4 linked regions of the Caenorhabditis elegans genome follow. The gene in region 1 interacts genetically with each later gene. Each region holds a gene or a part of one and is shown on either strand. Other genes may lie near its edges. The genes, in order: lit-1, C50D2.1, lias-1 and mrps-18C.

Region 1 (5,497 bases):
GATAATTAAGCCCCTCTCAGAAAAATTCAAGATGAACTAATTGGTCACACAAATTAATTAAAAGCTCTTTTTTATTTTAAAATGATTAAGTTAACAATAACCTCATGAATCTGAATCTTCGAGGTATGTCTTCCTTCAAATTCGTTGGGTTTCCAATAGAAAATGTTCAATTTTTTATCACTTTCCTTTAACTTTTTCGTAATTTTTATTTGTTTTTTTTCACTTTCTTCTTCGCAGTTGCTTTTCCGCGTCCTTGTATAGTAGTCGTCAAAGCAGTCGGCGGCGTTCTATTTTTTTTTTGCTTGCTTGCTTTTGCTATGTCTCGTGTGTGCCCAATAACAACAACAACCACATATATAGCCGTCTTCTGGATATATATGTATGTGGGTGTGTGTGTGTTATGGCTTTTCTTCGAACTTTTTATTTCACTCGGAAACTTTCAAGATTTGTCTTTTCTGATGCTTTTTAGGATTCCAGGAATTTTATTCGTTCGAACTAGTAAGTATGAAGTTAGAGTTCACAGCAAATTTTCATCAAAATTCGGAAAAAAACTGGTTTTTATATCGTAGCCCTACAAAAATAGAGAAATAAAAAAATCGAAGGGTCAGATTCACCAGTGTTATTTTTCGATAATTTGTCAGAAAAATTTGGGAATTAGAAACTTTACGAAGTCTAGTGAGTTGCAAATTTTTAAGAATCAAATTTGCTAATTTTCCTTCTTATTTTCGGATCAAATTTTCATTTCATATGAAATATTTCATAAAAAACAAAAAATCAGATTTTGTAGATAGAGCCCACAATGTAAAGGAACTACAACATCTGTAGAACCGGATCTGTTAGATTTTTTCTTCGAGTTTTACAAAATTTCAGACTTCCCAAGTTTTTTGTTTGAGTTTTGGCTCAGAAATTTCGAACATAAAACTTGGAGAATCAGATTCCCGGCTTTTAGAGAAAGTTCCGATTAGGGGCACCACAAATTGAGAAAACAAACATTCTGGAGAATCAGAGTTTCGATTTTTTGTTGCCAAAAACGACATCCTTGCTCCAACTGTCAGCATGCCAAACAACAGACACCCCTGTTGAAAATTTTAAATTCCAAATGAAACGGGGATGGGGTACATCGTAGTAATAGTAGTAGTTGGTTCTTAGGGGAGCACATCTCTGCTTCTTCTTCTTCGCAGCTTTTCGGTCTTCTGCGTCCGTTTGAGTGGTCAGTCAGATGTATGAGAGTGCGTTCCGTATCTCTCTGCGTCTCCACACCCTTGACCACTCTCTACGCCGTCGTGCTCTCTGTGTCTCGCCCGACTATCTCGAATAGAAAGTGACCACTGCTACATAATATTCGAATTCGCGGGGGGGGGGGGGTCTGTCTACTGCTGCTGCTGCTGGGTGGCCGTTTTCCTTGCCACACACTCTCTCGTCTCTCTTGCTCTTTGTGCATCTCATAGTTTGCTACTCGCGATCAGCTGTAGTCAACGTTCTCATATATACAGTATGCTTTTTGTTGAAAGTTTTGCCATATTGCCACGGCAAATTTTTTGGTACTTTAGTGGTTTTTTATTTCAAATCACCACGAACTTTTATAATTTTCCTCGATATTTGCATTTCCTCATTTTTTGCCAATGAAATTGTAAATTTTTCGCATTATTCTGTATGCTAGCACTTGTTTTCCAGCTTTACTTTACTCCCTTGTCCTCTCCCCGCCCCCAAAAGTACCAGAATAAGGTGTTTCCAAATTAGTTGTCCTTATCTTTCGAGGAGCCTCGTTTTAGAAAATGTGTACTTTTCTGCTCAATTCCCGGACACTTTTTCCGGGAATTCAGAAAAAGTCTGAACCACTACTAATTCTAATGTGATATTCTGAAGTTAGTCTTCATAATGATATATGCTAGCAATTTATATAACTAATTTTTCACATGGCGCACACATATCCTCATATCAGAACATATCAGAAGTTCTTGTTATTTTCCCGTTCCCCAAAAGTAACAGAGTAATAAAAAATTTCGAAATCCCGAGGGACGGTCCTTGGGGAGGTCGGGGTCATCACCCTCAACGTACATGGTACCGGGGGCCTGGTGGCGACAGGTAGTGAGGTCTCTCTTCTCAGTCCTGTTAGCACACACACAGTGGAGGGGTGCGTGCGCGCTCGCTCACTCGCCTACAGATCCGAGATGAATCGTAGACGCGTATTGAGGAAGACGGTGTTGGGTGGTGATGGTGTCGTGGGGAAGGGGGAAGGATGCGTACTATCTCTATATTTCTCGAGAACAAGAAGAAGATGATGACGATTCACTTTCCTTCTACTCGTCTCAGAAAGACACGGAGGACGAATTCTGCGGGTGCCTTTTCCCCGAGTAAATTTTCACATGTTTACAAAAAATGTTCATTATGAGCCTCTGTATTGCTTAAATTTGTCAATCATAAAATATTTTAAATAGGCAGTTCTCCTGAAAATAATACATTGAAAAATTTCGTTATTAAACCATTTTTGGTTTTTTTGTTGGAAATTTTTTTGTTGGCTTGATAAATTTGGCACAATTTCGTTTTCCGAGAGGAGAACAACTTTTATTTCCTTCTTCATCTATTTCCTCCTTTTTTTCAGAATTCTCTAGAAAAAAAACAAAAAAAAAAGAAGGCGTCCTCTCTCGTCATGAATGAATAACACTAGTTCCGCCTCACTTTTTCATGTTCTTTTTTCTTCTTTCTTTTTTCTTTCTTTTTTTCAAGTCCAGAAATTCCAGGATCAAGCAGTTCATCCGGCTGTAGTTCGTCATCTACAGAGCTCTACGATCTTGCAGCTGCACACGCCGCACTTATATCCCGACAGCAACAGATTCTCAGTCAGGGTGTGTTTTTGTGGAAAAATTAAAACAAATTGAGTTTTACATGTCCGGAAATGTGTGTCTCGCCACGAACTTTGTGGAATTCGTTGGGAGACCCTATTGTTTTTTTTAATAAGCTAAGAAATTGAGATTTTCGCTCATTCATGTGAAAAAAATAACGCTCGCTAATCTTTGTATTAGAATTAGAGTTGATTTGCTTTTATAATCCAGTTCAATTTGTCTACAAATTTTCTTTTTAAACAATTAAACTAGTTTGGAAAATGGATAATTAATTTTTAAACCTAACCGTTGAATTATTGATCGAAAAATGAAAATTAATTAAAAGTACTGTAAACTTTAAAGGAGCATACCTTTAGTTTCGTACTGGGTTCCACCACGATTCGAGAAATCATACATTTTATAATATTTTCTCGATTTTCGTGCCTAAGATATCTTTTTTTAATATTTAATTGAAACAAATTTTTTATTTTAAAATGTTCATTCTAACCGAAATTTCCAAACCCCATTGTTTGCTCCCGAAACACGAATTTTCAAATAGTTCAGTACTGTAAGATTTAAAGGCGCCCAAACTGTCTCTTGCAGTAGGTCTCGTCACGATCGGAGAAATTCTAAAAAAGTTTTTGTTTTTTCGTTTCGAATTTTTGTTTTTCTGCTCAATTTCTTCGCTTTGTTAGCTAAAAAATGTGTAAAATTTATCATTAAAAAAAACAAAGTTTCAACAATTTTCAGTACCTCTTCATATAATTCACATGAAATTGTCTAATTTTTAGCCAATTTCAGAGGATTTTCCGAAAAACTCAATAATTAATCAAGAATTGTTTCAGCAATCCCAATAATACCGGAACACCAGCTGGCCGCCGTCGCCGCTCACCATCAACATCACCAGCAGCTTCACCCATCGGTACAGTACCAGCTCGTCGCTGCCGCCACCCATCACAATCATCATCAGCCGCAAGCGGCACAACCACACTATTCAGCAGTTGTGCCACGATCTGACGGTTTGTTAAATAATGTTTTAAACGTTGAAAATTGTTTTTTTTTTCAATAAAAAAGTAATGTTTTTTTTAATTTTTCAGTAATACAACAACCACCACACTTTGCTCTGCACCACCATCTTCAGAATTTGGTTCAACAGCAGCAGCAACAGCAGGCTCACCATCATCATCAGCAATTAGTTGGTGAGTCGACCGATTTTTTTTCACGAAAACAAAAAATTAAAAAATAATTACCGAAAATCCGGAAAAAAACATTAAAAAATGAACGGAACAATTTCCCTTTTTTTAAAAGTTAACTTATGAAATTTTTGAAAGATAAAAAAAAATATTGGGAAAAATTTTCAAGCCTCAAAAATCTGGTTTTTAAAACTAAAAACTAATTTTAACAATAGTTTCAAATTTTTCTGTAAAAACCAAAATTCCCAACAAAATTTTTTTGAATCATGATATTTGTAAAAATCTATTTTCTTGATTTGTTAACAAACTTTCGAACCATTTCCCTTTTTGTTTACTTTTTAATATCTCAAAGTTCACGTGTAGTTCTGTTAGCCGGTCTTTACAAATTTAATCAGTTGCTGCCTGTCAAAGTGCACAAGTCCTTCTACTACTTTATTTTCCATCTCCTCTACCGTAATGTCCTTGTCTCCCCTGAATGACCTACAAAGAACACACTCCGCTCTTTCTAGAAAAGACTGCTTTCTCTGTTAAAGCACATGTTTTTTGTTGTTGTTACTCTCCGTCATCAGCTTCGGGGTGTTTTTTTTATTCTGGAATTCTTAGAATTTTCTCAGTTCACCGTGACTCACTTCTCAGAACTACTACGATTTTCTAACAGAAATCTGAAAGACATTTATTGCGAAATATGATGACTAAAAAAGAGATCAAGTTCGGCTTTTTTGAGCCATTTTTTCCGAATAAACCCGTTTTTTTTAATGTTCTGAATTTTCTATCATTTCCAAAAAAAAATATTGTGAAAAAAATTTTTATGATGCTCTTACTCTTTGCCATTTAAATTGGAACACTAATTGTCAATTTTTCAGACATTTTTCCGCGTAGAAATAAAAATTGGCCTATAAATTGTTCGTTTAACAATTAATTACTTGATAGAAAAACGATTCTTCCTTTTAATTTTTTTTTGAATAACGGAAAATTATATATAAAAAATGCCTATTTTCTTTTCTGAAATTTAGTATGAAAACCAGTTAAACACTACTTAGTTAATCTTTATTCGATATATCTTTATCAATCTGAAATTCACTAACGATTCATTTATGACGCTCAAACATGTGAACTCCGTTGATCACATACACACAAATTCACGTTATGACGAACATAACACTAGATATGTCGAAAAACGCATATACACAGATTATATTGCTAGTGACGCAATTTTTGAGTGAAATGGAAAAAAGGGAGATAATGGCAACAGCGAATACGTAAAGGTGGAATTAATTAGATTTCAGCTCAGATCTAGAAATAAGTAGAGAGTATGTGCTTAGACTACATTTTGTGCTCCTTTGGACTATATTAATTCCGCTAAAATGGAATGTCCTACATTTTTAGTTTTTCGTCCTATTCATTTTTAAATTGATTTAGTCTATTTTTCTTTAATATTCCCCGACTTGGCCTAAAAAAGTTCTTCACAAGATTTCTCGCTCC
Region 2 (5,636 bases), on another chromosome or scaffold:
ACCCAATTCGGTGAAGTTGTCGGAAAGGACTCACAGCAGTACCAAACGCTTGAACATTGTTGGAAGTGTTTACCGAGTTCTATAACAAAAAGTGTTCCCTTTGATACAATGATCACTGCAGCTTTTCCAAACTCAAAAGACCAGAACAAGCTGATTAAGGAACTTGACGAAGCTGGATTTTTCGCTTGTTTTACAATGGACTCTACGAATAATATGTGGAATTGCATTAGTTGTACGAATCCTGAAAAAGTGAAATACTTTGTTGAAGAAGGAGGCGCCGAAAAAGTATTGGAAGGACAGTTGAAAGAGAAAAAAGGGCGATGGAGGTTTTTGAAACGATGGAACACCAAATACTTTACCTTGTCATCGGCTGCATTGAATTATAGCACACAACATATGCCGGTACGTTTTTTTCCGGAATCGGAAATTTTGATACATCATTTCTGTCACTTTTCAGACTGATTCCCGAGCACTCCTTCCCTCAATCGATCTTCGTTCTATCCGATCTGTCAGATCGCTCGGTCGTGGAAAGAAAGCTAGAAAGAGTCTAAGAAAGGCATTTGAAATTTTCACAGCTGACAATACATCAATGATTCTGAAAGCCAAAGATGAAAAAAATGCGGAGGAATGGCTTCATTGTCTACAGATTGCAATGGCTCATGCAAGAAGGGAATTGGCTTAATTCACCTGATTTTAATATTATAAACTTTATTTACAATAATTATTAGTTGAAAACATTGCACGAGATTCCAGAAATTCAATGATTAAAGATAGATTATTGATACAGATTTCCAATGTCAATGGAGGTAGATCTATGTTCTGCCACTTGTGCCGTCTGGGCAGCCGCTGCTCTTGCCATGTTATTCAGAGTTTCTACTCCGTCCATACCCATCCTGTTCATTATCATTCCGACACTAGGGAACCCAACAGCTGTTCCGGTATTCACACCAACTCCAACGAATGGGACAGCGAAACCCTGAAAACAACCCTGCGTTTTTGTAATTACCAAGATTTTGCATACCTTATTCCACGAGACTCCCCCGTTGAGCCAATCAACTCCAACTCTATCTGCTAATCCCATAAATGGCCCGACGTGGTACCCATTAGTCACTGAAATCGGTCTTCCGAGCTCTCCTTCTTTGATTGGCACTGAGACTTGCGTTCCTTGACCTCCTTCAACTCCAATTCCCTGCACAATTGGAATACTCCATCCAGTTTTGTATCCATACTGGCCTGAAATCGTTAAAAAACTTAAAATTATAAAAAAATTTTTTGAGCCGTAAAATCCTACCTTCGTACCAGTTAGCTCCATATTCTTGGGTTTGAGACCAGAAATCTCTTACACCAAGATTATCAGAATATCCTCCTCCCCACGTTCCAAAATCTACTTTTCCATGATGGCCGTTTCCAATGGAACCTTCCTCGTTTACAGGGTAGTACGGGATTCCGTTGACATTCCAGTCGTAGTACGTAAGACCAACTCCAGAAGAGAAAGAATTGGCAATTGCTCCAAGTGGGCGAGCCTATACAATTAACATTGTTGAATAATTTTTAAGAAATCTGTCAAATCAACTGACTTTTGCTATAAATTCAACGCAATCTTTTTGATATCCTCTGCATCTTTCAATGAATTGTTCTTCGACTTTACTTTTGTAGCAATGCTGAAACAAAATTTAATTTGTGGTAAAAATTGATTGTGTTCTATCATTTACCTGATTTGCCATTGGTGCAAATTTTGCACAAAGTGCGTAAATTTCTTTAACGGACAGACCAACTTCATGGATAGACTTTCTAGTTGTCACTTGCGACACTTTGTGCTCAGCAGTCAAAAGCGGCGCTGTATCTTCATCCGGGTCCACTTGCTTTCCGTTTTGAGCAATAAATCCTTCCTTTGAATTTAAATCTTTATCATCTACTGTCTTCGTAACAGCCGCGTGAATTCTCGGACGAATTTGAACACTGTCAAATGGGTTACTGTACTTCTTCGGTGGCTCTTGAGTTACTAGCTTCGGGAACTCAATGTCCTCTCGGTTTTTTCCAAGCGACACTAATGACTCTGCTGCGCCTACTTGAGGGCGATTAATATCGTAAGAAGATCCCAAGTAAGATCTGGGTTTCGGATAGTAATAGTCGGTATAAGTTTGATCAACTTGTGTATGTTCTTCTTTCACGTTTTCGGTTTCGTTTTTGAGAGCAGGAAGTTGTAGAAACGGGAAAACTTGAAAATGTTGTAATTATATATTTCAAACAATTGACTTGACTTACGAGATTTTGAAAAGTCTAGAAGCCCAGTTCCTTGCTCGTTTATATTTCCCATCTCAATGTTTCCTAGACCTCCAAAAGACATCTGAAATTAGAAACTTTAAAACTCTGAAAATCCTGTTAAACACATGATCTTACTTTTCCAGTGCTGCCCGATCTTTCTCCCATGGTTGTCTCTCGATCCATATATCCTAACTGAGGTCCCTTTTCATCATCAATATCAAATGTTCCTCCATTCGCTTTTTGACCTTGAGATCCTTCCGGAGTAAACTTTGCGGTCATTTGACTAACATCTCCAACGCCAAATTGGCCTAACATTGGCACGTGCATTTTTGCATCGTCTCCATCTTTTCTTCCAAATGCCAACGGACCGATTAATTGAAGAATTGCAGGCGGTTTTCGCCGAATTTCTCGATTGAAACCACGCGCAATGGGCGCTTCTGTGTCTCGACGTAATCTTCGATTGATAACTGAAAAAGATGTTTGGTGATAAGGAATTGCGTTTTATGAAAATTGTCCCGGTATAAATGATAAAGCTAACAGATAAGGCAGGCTATACTTGAATTTTCCGATTAGTTTTCCGACTTCAATTTTGAGATGATTCATCTAGCCGTACTACGGGCAGTTGAATTATTATTATAGCTCACACGAATTTTGATAAATCTTGCAACAAAAAACAAAATTAAAAGGGACTGGAAAACTTACTCCCAAATGATTTCAAGAGGTGCAGTGCGCATTTAAAGTTCCCCGCGATTATCAAATTATGCTCTTACAATTATGTTCAACAGTTTATGAATGAATAAATTTAAAAAAATATGTATTGAAGGTGAAGTAGCGCCAGTGGGGATTTTGTCTAAATATACTTATAATAATCCAAAACATCCAAATATCAAGTTTTTTGCAAATTGCCAAAATTTTGAAAAAAAAAAGAGGTTTTGAGGAAATCCAAAGCAATATCGCACTTTCCGACCCCTACAATGTTTTAATACAAATATTTAAAACAAAATTACAGTATAAAAAATGCAGGGAAAAAAATGTTTGGTCGACTTCCAAAATTATGAGTAGCAAAAAACTGATTAATTGCCACTTTTTGACAGTAAAAATATTAAGAATATTTACCCGAAGCATCTGTGCAAAAAACCAAACCAGATATAAATATTAGTAAGGAAATGTAGAAAATATCCACGAGGTTCCTCCTCATTGTGTGTCCCGGTGAGAATAAAAAATGCCAGTGTCTCCTTCTGATTCGGATTACGTCTTCATCATCAAAAAGGTGGAAACTCGAAAAACGAGATTTCTCGCGTCATCCGCCGCCCAGTCCCTTGCCTCGAGGCTTATCCTTTTGTCTCGTTTTCCATAAAATCGGGCAAAATTGCGAGGCGGCTAGTGATAAGAAAGGGTAATGAATATGTATTTGATAATTGCGTAACTATGGTTGTTTTAGAAAACTGAGATTTTACAAGTTTTTTATTAACAAGGAAACAAAAATACTAAGAAATGAAAGTAACTAAAATACTAGGAAGCACAGACAGGAAATGCGTACAAACGAGAGGAACCAGTGTTCATTTGGAGAGATTTGATATTTAAAGAAAACATAAATTAATATAAAAAGGAGACTGCGGTTTATTTACAGAACTGATGAGTTTAGAAGGTATAATCACGGAGACGTCGTTCCAGCTCCAGCCACTACTCCAGACACCACGGACTCATACGTGGAGCTCTTCGAGAACTTTTCAGCGTCTTGTACTTCTTCTTTACTATGATGAATTCCATATCCAAAATAGATAACAAAACCAATGCTCATCCAAACAACTAACCGGAGCCATGTGATCCAAGCAAGATGAACCATCATCAAAGTGTTGATTAAGAGTGAAAGGGCAGGAATAAGAGGAACGAGAGGTACCTGAAAGGAATATTTACATTATACATAAAAATCTCCTGCGTAAATTATCAATCATACCTTGAAATCCAGTGGAGTATTATTGGGGTAATGAGCGCAGATAAAGAGGAATGAGAGAATTATCAGAGCAATATTGACTAGCAAGAATATTTGGCAGAGAACAGTTCCATATAAATATCCAGAACTGAATCCAAGGCCTGAGAAGAACATTGAAGCAATCATTACGCTCATCCCATAATAAATCGAGTGTCCTGGCTGAAGTTTATCAAGGAAGCCACAGAATGGAATGCTGAATCGAAGTTTTCCTCCATTGTCGAATTGGCCCTCATCAACATTATATGCTGGTTGGTAGCGAAGTACGATTACACAGGCAGAAACAATAGAATACGCAAGAAGAGTTCCAATTGATAAGAATTCAACCTTGAAATATTTTGTTTAAAGTATATTAAAACGTATTTCAGCTTACCAAAGTGGTAATATCGAAAAGCAATGCAATGATTGCAGTGAGGAATCCAAAAATAAGAAGAGCTTGAGTTGGAACTTGAGTTTTTGGGTTTACGGATGCCAAGGAGCTGAACAAAAGTCCATCATCAGCCATTGAGAATACACATCTCGGAAGAGCAAACATTCCTCCAACCAAACTAGTTGTCATTCCAAAAAGAGCACCGACCGAGACCGCATAGCTTGCAAATTCTGCTCCACGCATCGTGAATGCATCAGAAAATGCTGCAGTTGGATGAACCATATTGTATGGAATCATCAATGTCAGGGAAGCTGACATCAGAACATAGGAGAGTGTGACAATTGTCATAGAGGAGAATGTGGCAATTGGAATTGATCTAAAATAAATTACCTAAGATTTCACATACTCAGTTCACATAAATTTTAATCTCACCGTGCAGGATCTTTAGCTTCTTCTCCAGCAGTTGCAAGTCCGTCAAATCCAATGTATGCAAAAAAGCAAGATGCAGCTCCAGCAAACATTCCAGATACTCCATACGGAAAGAATCTCGAATTCCCTTTCTCATCTACTCCACTCCATAGAGAGAAATCAGCAAACGTTATACCATAGAACACGACTATGACAACAATTCCAATATTGAGAATTGTTAGGAAAGAGTTGAAGTTAGTGGACACTTTTGAACCAAGAGCAACAAAAAATGCCACAAGAACGATGAGTAGAAAAGCGAGAAGATCAGGGTAATCGCCGAAAAATGATGAAGCCTGGAATTTCGAATTCAAAATTTTATAAAAACATTTACTGGCTTACTTCATGCAAGTGCCCAGTGCGAGCAATTGTTGAATTTGAAATAACATTTCCCAGTAATGAATCCAAGTATCCAGACCATGATCTAGCGACAGCAGCAGCTCCAAGCATGTGCTCTAGTATAATGTTCCATCCAATAACAAAAGCCCATAGCTCTCCAACTCCAACATAAGTGTATGTGTATGCACTTCCAGCTTTTGGGAACCT
Region 3 (4,209 bases), about 10 Mb from region 1:
GACCTCTCGAAAACATGCAGTGAGACAGAAATATGAAACAAAGACTCTCAACAAGTAACCTGAATATGTTTTGAAAAAACAGTAGTGATATGGTCAACAATTTTATAATACCAAACAAAACAGATTTGTGCATGGATTTAATTGTATCCAAGAGCCTCGATGATCTTCTGGTATTGAGCGATCTTTGGGGCGGCATTCTTCTTTGCTTGAACGGCGAGCTTGTCCATCTTCTTTTTCTGTTCGAAGTAGGCGGCTCCCTTCACCTTTCTCTTAGCCTCGAGCTTGGCAACAACATCCTGGAATTGCCATCCGACCTCGTGCGATAAGCGTCCAACTGAAAATTAAATAATCGTTGTGATCAAAAAAATTATAATAACTCACCGACGCAGAACTTTCTTCTTGGTTGAAGTCGGAATCTGCTGGCTGATGGGGCATGGAGAGACTTGGTCTTCTGGTATTTGGCTGGAACTCCTTCGTAGGCGCGGAGGTTCTTGAGAGCCTCGTTTCCGCGGTTGGTCTTGTGTGGGAGCATTCCTGAATAGAGAATTTATTAATTTAAGTACAGATAATGTTTAAAATCACTCACCTCTGACGGTACGCCAGAAGATCTTTCCTGGAGCACGGTAATGGAAGGCTCCACGGGCTGGGTTGATGTTACAACGCTTGCGGAGGAAGCTCATGTACTTCAGCTTGGAACGGTGGAAGTTTCCGGAGATGACGATCTCTTCAGCTCTGAGGACGACAACCTTGTCTCCTTGGAGAAGCTTCTTTGCAACGATGGAAGCCAACCGACCGAGAAGGTGGTTCTTTCCGTCAATGATGATTGCTCTGTTCGACAGACCCATCGTTTACCCTGAAATAAATACTGATAAGAAGGGGAAAGTTTAGAAATACACGAGAGTAAAGGAAGAGAGATAAATCGAAGCGAGAGAACGCGCATAACAATAAATATATGAAAACTATTTCGAGAATTTATTTGGCAAGAATCCCGCACAAATTCTTCTAATATTTACATATTTCAGTAATCTTAATTTTGTCTATTTCTCAACACATTTTTCAAATAGAATTCTCCGGCTTTGTACGAAGAGCGAACAAGAGGGCCAGATGCAACGTAAAGGAATCCCAGTTTTTTCGAATATTCTGCCCACTGGTCGAATTTCTCGGGGGTCACCCATTCTTTGACAAGCAAATGACGTTTTGTCGGCTGCATGTATTGACCGAAAGTGACAACGTCAACATTGCTAGCTCGAAGATCGGCCAAGCACTGCTTTATCTCGTCTTCAGCTTCGCCCAGTCCTAGCATAATCGATGTCTTCGTGATTAGCTTTGGGCTGACTTCCTTTGCGTATCGAAGAGCTTAAAAAATATTCAATAATATTTACGAGATTCTGAAAAAAAAAAAAGCTGCTTACCGTCCAAAGACTGCCGATATTTAGCTCGTGGATCTCTGACCCATGGAGTCAGTCTTTCAACCGTTTCAATGTTATGTGCATATACATCGAGTCCACTGGTAGCCATTTTCTCCACACTGATCTTATCTCCAGCGAAATCGGGCAATAAGCATTCGATGAGAAGTTCAGGCTTCTTGAGCTTCATCAGCTGTACTGTCTTGCGAAGATGATCGGCTCCACCGTCTGGCAAATCATCCCTGAAAATTACTTTGATTAAAAGCTCAAGATACGAATAAGTTACCTGTCAACTGATGTTAAAACAATGTATTCGACACCCCATGAAGCAACGGCGGTCGACGTATTTTCCGGTTCCATAGGATCCAATGGTGGAGGAGCTCGAGCAGTTTTGACCGAACAGAATTTACAACCCCGAGTGCAGGTATCTCCCATCAACATGATTGTCGCTGTTGCTAGACTGTCATCTGATCCTCCCCAGCATTCTCCAAGATTTGGGCACCGTGCTTCCTGACAAACAGTCGCTAGTTTGAGATGTTTCAACTGCTTTTTTAGACGACTGACATTTTCGTTTTCCGATGGAAGAATCTGAAAACAATTGTGATGAGGGGCAAAAAATTGATAGGCTATACCTTTTCTTTCTTGAGCCATGGTGGAAGTCGCAAACGTCTGTCCCCTTTCTCCAGCTTCAGTTTTCCTTCGTACTTCTCAACAGCCTCTGCCACGGATGCTAAAATTAATAATTATTTGATTATGAAACAATATTGTTTGAGTTTTACCTGATGAAATAAAATCCTGAAGCGATGGTCCATCTTTGACGAGAACTTGCGGTTTTTTCTTTGTGGCTGCAAGTCCACGGACCCATACCCGAGCTAGCATGCTTAAACAATCTACCGGTAATAATTAAACTCCTTGTGTTGAAAATCAAGAGGGACCCCCTACAACTGAAATTCTGGTTGAGAAATAGACAAATTTGGATTTTGGGAACATTTTTCCACTTTTCCTACCTAGTTTCTGACAAATCTCGCAGAATAAGAACTACAATCGATAATTAGCACTATTAATCGTTTAAAAATTAAAAATTCAATCAATTTTATGCAAAAAATCGCGCAAAAACGTGAAAAATCAGGCGAAAATCGTGAAAAAATTTTAGGATAGCGGAAAAAGCCATGCGTTGAGGTTCGATGGGTCTCGCCACGATACGCAATCAGACGTGACGGTGTATGCACAGAAAAATCCACCGTAGTCCGCAAGGCCATTCGCAACATTTTTTTTCACTTCAACAATCAAATTTAACTCATTTTTCCAGCAGAATCTTGGGAATTTTCATAAAAACCTTAATAGTGAGGTCCCTTTTGACTTTTTACGTGGTTTATTCGTGATTTTGATCATAACTAGAGTTCTAAAAAGGATAAAACGCTTTTGAAACGGAAAAATAGTTTAAATTGGCTTTCACGTTACCATAATGAGCAAAATAAACAGAAATCCGAAAAAAAATACATGTTTATTATGAGACAAAAGTTCACCAGGAATGGCAAGAACCGAAATTTGTAAAATACAGGGGTCAAACAAACTAAAGGCAGTGTCTAAAGAATGCGAAAAATATTTTTGATTAATATAATCAATGATTATGCAGCTTCACATTTCGTGGAGACGGAGCTGGGGTGTACAGAGCTGTTGGCTTCACGTGCTGGAGATAAACGTTGACAAGTACGAGGCAAAGGCAGAGAACAATTGGTCCTATGATTGCGCCCTGAAAATATATTTAAATGAGGTACTTTTTTAGTAGAAGAAGTTAAATACACAAACCTGCAATCCCAACCAGTACATTCCACCAATGATAGCCAAACCGGTCACATATGGATGAGATCCCTTAACTTCCCGGTAAAAAGTAGCATCTGCGAACATTACAGGAGCAAATGAAGCGACTGTGAATACAAGAGCAGCTGCTCCTTCTCCTCGAACCAGCCAGAGTTCGACGATTCCGAAGATTGCGACGATGTAGGGAGGCATAATTGGAATAGCAGCGAATACTGTGGCAGCCACTGGAAAAATGGGACTTAGTAAAATTAATTAAATTTTAAAATCAACTCACTTGATGGAACAAATACAATGTTCAAATCGAAAAGACTGTGCACAAAATAAGTGTAGAGACCGTAGAAAACAGCCATTTTTGCAGAAAGAACGAATACTCCGCTGAAAAAAGGATTTTTTAATTAACTTTTAAATAATAATTCCCATTAAAATATAGAAAATGGGGCGAAACTACTCAAAATGTATGGATTTTTCAATTTTCCAACAAACCCGGGCAAAGTCATTACTTCATTTTTCCCATACAAATGGGACTATTTTTGCCGAATTTTCTGAAATTTTTCCCCAAAAACATGGAAAATAGGCCAATTTTGGAGGTTTTTCTACGGAAAATTCGATAAAACCCAGAGATTAACCTAAAATTTAATTATTTAAATTGTTCGTAAAAAAGCTATTTTTCAGGACTTTACAGTCGATTTTCTAAATTTTTAAGCCTAAAAACGTACAAAATCGCATGTTCTATCGCTACAGTAATATGATGCTGATTTCCTGCTGACGAGCCATCGGCTGTAGTGACTGCTGAGAGATCAGAAGCCCATTGAAGAGGAAGCCAGCGAGTACGAGAAGCCGAGAGAAGATAATATACCATTGTAAGGAAGACAATCTGAAATTCACTTTATATCGATTTTCAAATAATCTAGAGAAATTATTCAGTACCATCTCGATAAATGTGTTGAGCAAATCCATTCCAAAGCTTAAAATAATTCCGGCG
Region 4 (4,321 bases), 8.8 Mb from region 1:
TCATTAATATGTAATTATCAAATCGGATCAGAAAATACTCCAATTTTTAACCAAAGAAGCACGGATTGTATGCTTAGACCCGTATTTATAGGTTGGTTACTTTCATATTTAGATGTTTTTAACTTTGAATAATTCGTTTCAGATGGCTTATCATTCATGGACATGCTAATTCCGATCTCATCGTCGCTTCCAATAATTTCCACGAGATCTCTACTTGAAATACTTTTAAATTTCATTCTAGACGGGTGCCAAACTGTAATATACTTGCCAGATTATTATAACGATACAACTAACCAAAAAGTCGATGACTCGACTATTTTTCAATTCTTGTGCAATTCAAAACTTATACAGTTTGTTGACGGGCGGAGTCGGAGGGCTGTGGAACGACAAGTATTGCTTGAAGCTGAAAAGGTTATTCTTTTAGTTTCAAAATTCGTTAATTTGAAAATAAATTTTAGGTCCATGGAGTCTTTGTTTCCTCAGCGGAAGAGTTTCTAACCCGAAACGCTATTCAATGCTTTCCAGTGATTAATCGTTATTCTAAAAGACTTGATGAATTTCTAATTTGCACAGTATTCCTAGTCAATAATCTTCCGAAAAAAATACTCGCACAAGATTTCGTTGAAGAATCTAGAGTTTTGAAACCTGAAGGGAGTTCTTCAGCCGTATCAAGCACAACTGTCCTAGAAGAATCACATCAAAAAATCAGTGGAGCTATGGAAGACTCTGAGGATGAACCTGCTGATCCACAAACGTTGAAACAAGAATATTTGATTAAAGAGGAATGTTCTGAAATATCAGAAGATTCTGAAGAAGGAGCTATCGTCGATGTTGCTTCCAGCTCAGGCGACTTATCCGAAAACGTAGGTGCAATCTAAATTTTGTAAAGTCTAAATTTTTTCAGCGTGATCAGAAATCTGAAAACGAAGAATTTGAATATTCCCCGCATCAGTTAACTCTTGAGCAACAAACATATTTGGTTATTTTTTCCAGTTTTCCGTTCAGATTGATTTATCATCAATATTTCAGATTTCCTCTATGGCGCAACTCTCTATTTTCCATTTCCAACGCTATCGCCAAATAAGAGTATTCCTTATGATTATAAAACGTTACGTGCCAGAACTTTTACCTAGTTTTATGCAAAAAACTCGCATGGATGATGTTGCTATGGCAATTCAAGACATTCAGAACGGGAAGGACCTTCTTTATTGGCCTATTTTCTCAAAAATTGATAATTAATATGTTCAATAAAAATATTTTCGCATTTCTTTGGTTTTAAACTTTTATTTTAAAAATTCTTGGTAATATATACCCTGAAAATTGTATTTTAAACAAACAATTGCATTTTTTGTTTGAAAAATTTTATTTGAATTTTCTGGCAACAACACTCCGAAATTCCGTATGCGCGTGTTGTTTAGCCGCATACGAAACACCCAGTTTCTCAGGAGCATTGATTAAAGTCGGGCTAAAGTAAAGTTAGCAAGCTTCTTTTGAATTTGAAGTTCGTCTTTTAGTTATAATTTCATTTTAAGTAATATGCCTAACCTTCGAATTATTTGTTCTTCTCGATTTATTCGTTAGTTCCTCTGTTCTCAGTATCTTCCCGTCAGATTATCATTACCGACTTTTTTATTCCCATTTTTCATTACTTAGCAGAATCAATCACTTCATTTGGCTGAATAGCTACTATTTTAACACAAGTTTCTTTGATGCTTGTCAGAAGTGTTATTCATTCAAGGTATAAAGCTATAATTAGCTATGCCATCATTTTATATTTCGTCCAGCTCTCGTATCTCGCATTTTTATTTCCATGCGGAGTTTCTGATGATATTTTCTTCATTTTTATTCTAGAATTTCATGATCAATTATATCTCACTAATATTTAATCTTAATTACAGATGCTCCGTTCACTGGTATCCAGTGTGACGACGGGTCCGACTCCAGAATGGGCCGGGAGAATTCTAATGGCCTTCAGTGGACATATCAGTCAGCAGAGAGGTCGCAGAAGAACATTGACCCCAGCTCCATGGCTTCCGCCAGTCAAAGAGAGTGTGCCGAAAAGCAGTGTGGGTATTAGCCAGGGGACAAAGTAAGTTGCATTAATTCTTACCTGTTTAGCAAACGTTTTTGTTCAGAAATCTGCTTGAAACCGTAATTGAGAAAGAAACTCTTGCGGCGTCCACCATTGCATTTCAAAATTCTCAAGAAACCAATGTCTCAGTTGTTGACATTCCAGATTCATCAAGACGTGTGGGTCTGGTTGTCCGCAAAATCGGAATGCTCCCACAATGGACAAATGAAGGAAACCGAATTCTGTGCACTGTGCTTGAAGTTGATGAAAATCATGTTGTCAGTATTACATCACCAGAGGCTTGGTATAAATCGTCAGCCGTCGGAAAAAGAAAGGCTTTCAATCGTCACGGTCCTATGTGGAGAGTTACAGTGGGTGCCGGAAATGATGATCCAACAAAATACACGCTTGGGTACCGTAGGCAATTTGTTCGCGCAGGAATTCCAGTGAAAGGTTGGGTTTTTTTTGTGTTTTGCTCCGCTTTTCGATAGTCCTTCACCGTAAATTCATGGTTAAAAAAATAAATTCAGAGAAACTCGGATGTTTCCTGGTAACAGAAGACGCTCTCCCCAGTGCTGGACAGCCACTTGATGCCCGTCACTTCGGAGTTGGTCAATATGTAACTGCTACTGGAAAAACTATTGACTGGGGATTCCAGGTAATTTTTTTCAATTTACAATAGTCTAAAACTTCCAAAATTTCCCTTGCAAGCCAAGGAGCAAAATAATCTCTCAACCCTTGCGAAATATTTTCGAAACTAGTCGTTTTCAGGGTGGAATGCATCGATGGGGAATGCGTGGACAACCGACAAGACGTACCACAAAATCACATCGTAGAATTGGTTCCGTTGGTTCAGTCGGCGATGCTCGAATTTGGCCAGGAAAACGTATGCCGGGACATATGGGTTATGAGTGGAGGACTGTTTCTGGTTTGGAAGTAAGAAATTGCTCTCGATTTTAATTTTCAATTCATTTATTTAAGATTGTTCGAATCAATGTAGATAAACAAGTAATTTATGTGAAAGGAAGTGTACCTGGTGATATTGGAGAAACAATTCTACTTAAAGATTGCTTACAAGAAGAAAAACGTCTGAAATCCGGCCCAATGCCAACATGGGCTCCATCACTAGAAACCATCGAAGAAGAACCGGAGACAGAACCCGAAGAAGGCACAATTCCCAAAAATCTTCTTTTCAACGAAAAATTCTCGCCCAAACTGTTCCGTTTCACATCTCCATCCATTTTATTCACTGATGCCGACGCCAAGAAGGCCACTGGAAGAGATAAAACGAAAGCTAAGATTGCAAAAGTTAAAAAGTAATGGTGTATCTAATTTTATGATATATTACGGTTTTCCTTTATCGTTTTTTGTCGAAATTCGGTTTATTAGAATTTTTGTTCCGTAGATTTATAGATTTTTCATTGTTTTGCATTGTTTTTGTTTGTTCTGAATACCAAAAAGCAGAGTTTATATTCAATTATTTGTTGATTTTTTTCCAAACCGGTCGTTTACCGAGATTTACTTTATTTCTTAACATTATGCATTCTGAAACTTGGATTCTCAATTTGAAGCGAATGACAAGACTGTGGTGAGCTGGTTAATCGAGAAGTATGGCTGAAAACGACGGGGAAACGATTGTTCCAGACGAACAGTGCAATTTGACGGCCTCAACGCCTATGAAAAGTAGTGGGTTGGAAGTGAGTTGCTTTCTTTTTTCAAAATACTGTTTTTGAAACTTGAATTTTTCAAACTTCAAAGCTAGACAATATTTTTAAAAAATTGTTTATGAAAACAAGCTATAAAATAATAAAAAAGGGAAATATATTAAATTTTCAGCAAGTGGAAAGCCCGAAAGAACGAAAAACTTCAATGGTGGAATGTGATGACGAAGGGAATCCATCATCAGGAACCCCAGATGAATCACCAAAACAATTGACTCCGCATAGCATTCCCCCAAGACGACGACGTTCTCCACGACGCCCGGAAGTGTCAGCTTCTAGACTTCCTCTGAAAGTACTGAATCAGATTTTTCAGTATTTACCATTGAAAGGTAAACATATAACATTTTCCCCCTTGAAGTTACATGGCTCTGTTTTCAGACCTACGATCTGCAATGCTAACCTGTCATAGTTGGAATAACGCTCTTTCAATGGAAGACAGTGACATATGGCAGTACCTTCTTGGCAAGAAGCTTCCAGAAGCAGCAGTTTCCGATCCCTTCCTGCTCGCCGAGCTGGGATCTGCAAAAAA

What was found.
Region 2: of lit-1 (region 1) and C50D2.1, a change in one rescues a mutant of the other (synthetic rescue), as found in Caenorhabditis elegans (one study listed by BioGRID).
Region 3: of lit-1 (region 1) and lias-1, a change in one rescues a mutant of the other (synthetic rescue), as found in Caenorhabditis elegans (one study listed by BioGRID).
Region 4: of lit-1 (region 1) and mrps-18C, a change in one rescues a mutant of the other (synthetic rescue), as found in Caenorhabditis elegans (one study listed by BioGRID).

What each region holds. Positions count from the first base shown.
Region 1 is NC_003281.10:13,711,831-13,717,327, forward strand, and holds the start of lit-1 (Serine/threonine kinase NLK), read left to right. Parts: upstream 1-2,214; coding exon 2,215-2,354; intron 2,355-2,727; coding exon 2,728-2,846; intron 2,847-3,667; coding exon 3,668-3,841; intron 3,842-3,919; coding exon 3,920-4,021; intron 4,022-5,497. UniProt on the Caenorhabditis elegans protein: Has a role in the Wnt signaling pathway controlling the asymmetry of cell divisions during embryogenesis. Operates in the AB and EMS cell lineages influencing cell specification.
Region 2 is NC_003280.10:109,514-115,149, reverse strand, and holds C50D2.1 (Peptidase S1 domain-containing protein), read right to left. Parts: upstream 3,584-5,636; 5' UTR 3,464-3,583; coding exon 3,382-3,463; intron 2,733-3,381; coding exon 2,401-2,732; intron 2,348-2,400; coding exon 2,266-2,347; intron 2,219-2,265; coding exon 1,713-2,218; intron 1,662-1,712; coding exon 1,578-1,661; intron 1,524-1,577; coding exon 1,292-1,523; intron 1,234-1,291; coding exon 1,022-1,233; intron 977-1,021; coding exon 776-976; 3' UTR 690-775; downstream 1-689. Other genes in the region: K10B4.3 (Protein melted homolog), read left to right, coding at 1-402, 458-682; C50D2.2 (Cationic amino acid transporter C-terminal domain-containing protein), read right to left, coding at 3,920-4,165, 4,223-4,582, 4,629-5,001, 5,058-5,386, 5,433-5,636.
Region 3 is NC_003281.10:3,502,752-3,506,960, forward strand, and holds lias-1 (Lipoyl synthase, mitochondrial), read right to left. Parts: upstream 2,287-4,209; 5' UTR 2,286-2,286; coding exon 2,186-2,285; intron 2,137-2,185; coding exon 2,039-2,136; intron 1,995-2,038; coding exon 1,693-1,994; intron 1,649-1,692; coding exon 1,413-1,648; intron 1,357-1,412; coding exon 1,028-1,356; 3' UTR 959-1,027; downstream 1-958. Other genes in the region: rpl-13A (Large ribosomal subunit protein uL13), read right to left, coding at 138-334, 382-534, 587-845; M01F1.4 (Transmembrane protein 245), read right to left, coding at 3,028-3,159, 3,216-3,451, 3,502-3,602, 3,944-4,101, 4,155-4,209. UniProt on the Caenorhabditis elegans protein: Catalyzes the radical-mediated insertion of two sulfur atoms into the C-6 and C-8 positions of the octanoyl moiety bound to the lipoyl domains of lipoate-dependent enzymes, thereby converting the octanoylated domains into lipoylated derivatives.
Region 4 is NC_003281.10:4,933,680-4,938,000, forward strand, and holds mrps-18C (Large ribosomal subunit protein uL3m), read left to right. Parts: upstream 1-1,898; coding exon 1,899-2,089; intron 2,090-2,135; coding exon 2,136-2,524; intron 2,525-2,601; coding exon 2,602-2,729; intron 2,730-2,842; coding exon 2,843-3,007; intron 3,008-3,052; coding exon 3,053-3,391; 3' UTR 3,392-3,542; downstream 3,543-4,321. Other genes in the region: eri-9 (Zc3h12a-like Ribonuclease NYN domain-containing protein), read left to right, coding at 1-91, 143-411, 459-863, 905-979, 1,030-1,239; fsn-1 (F-box/SPRY domain-containing protein 1), read left to right, coding at 3,682-3,768, 3,908-4,121, 4,171-4,321.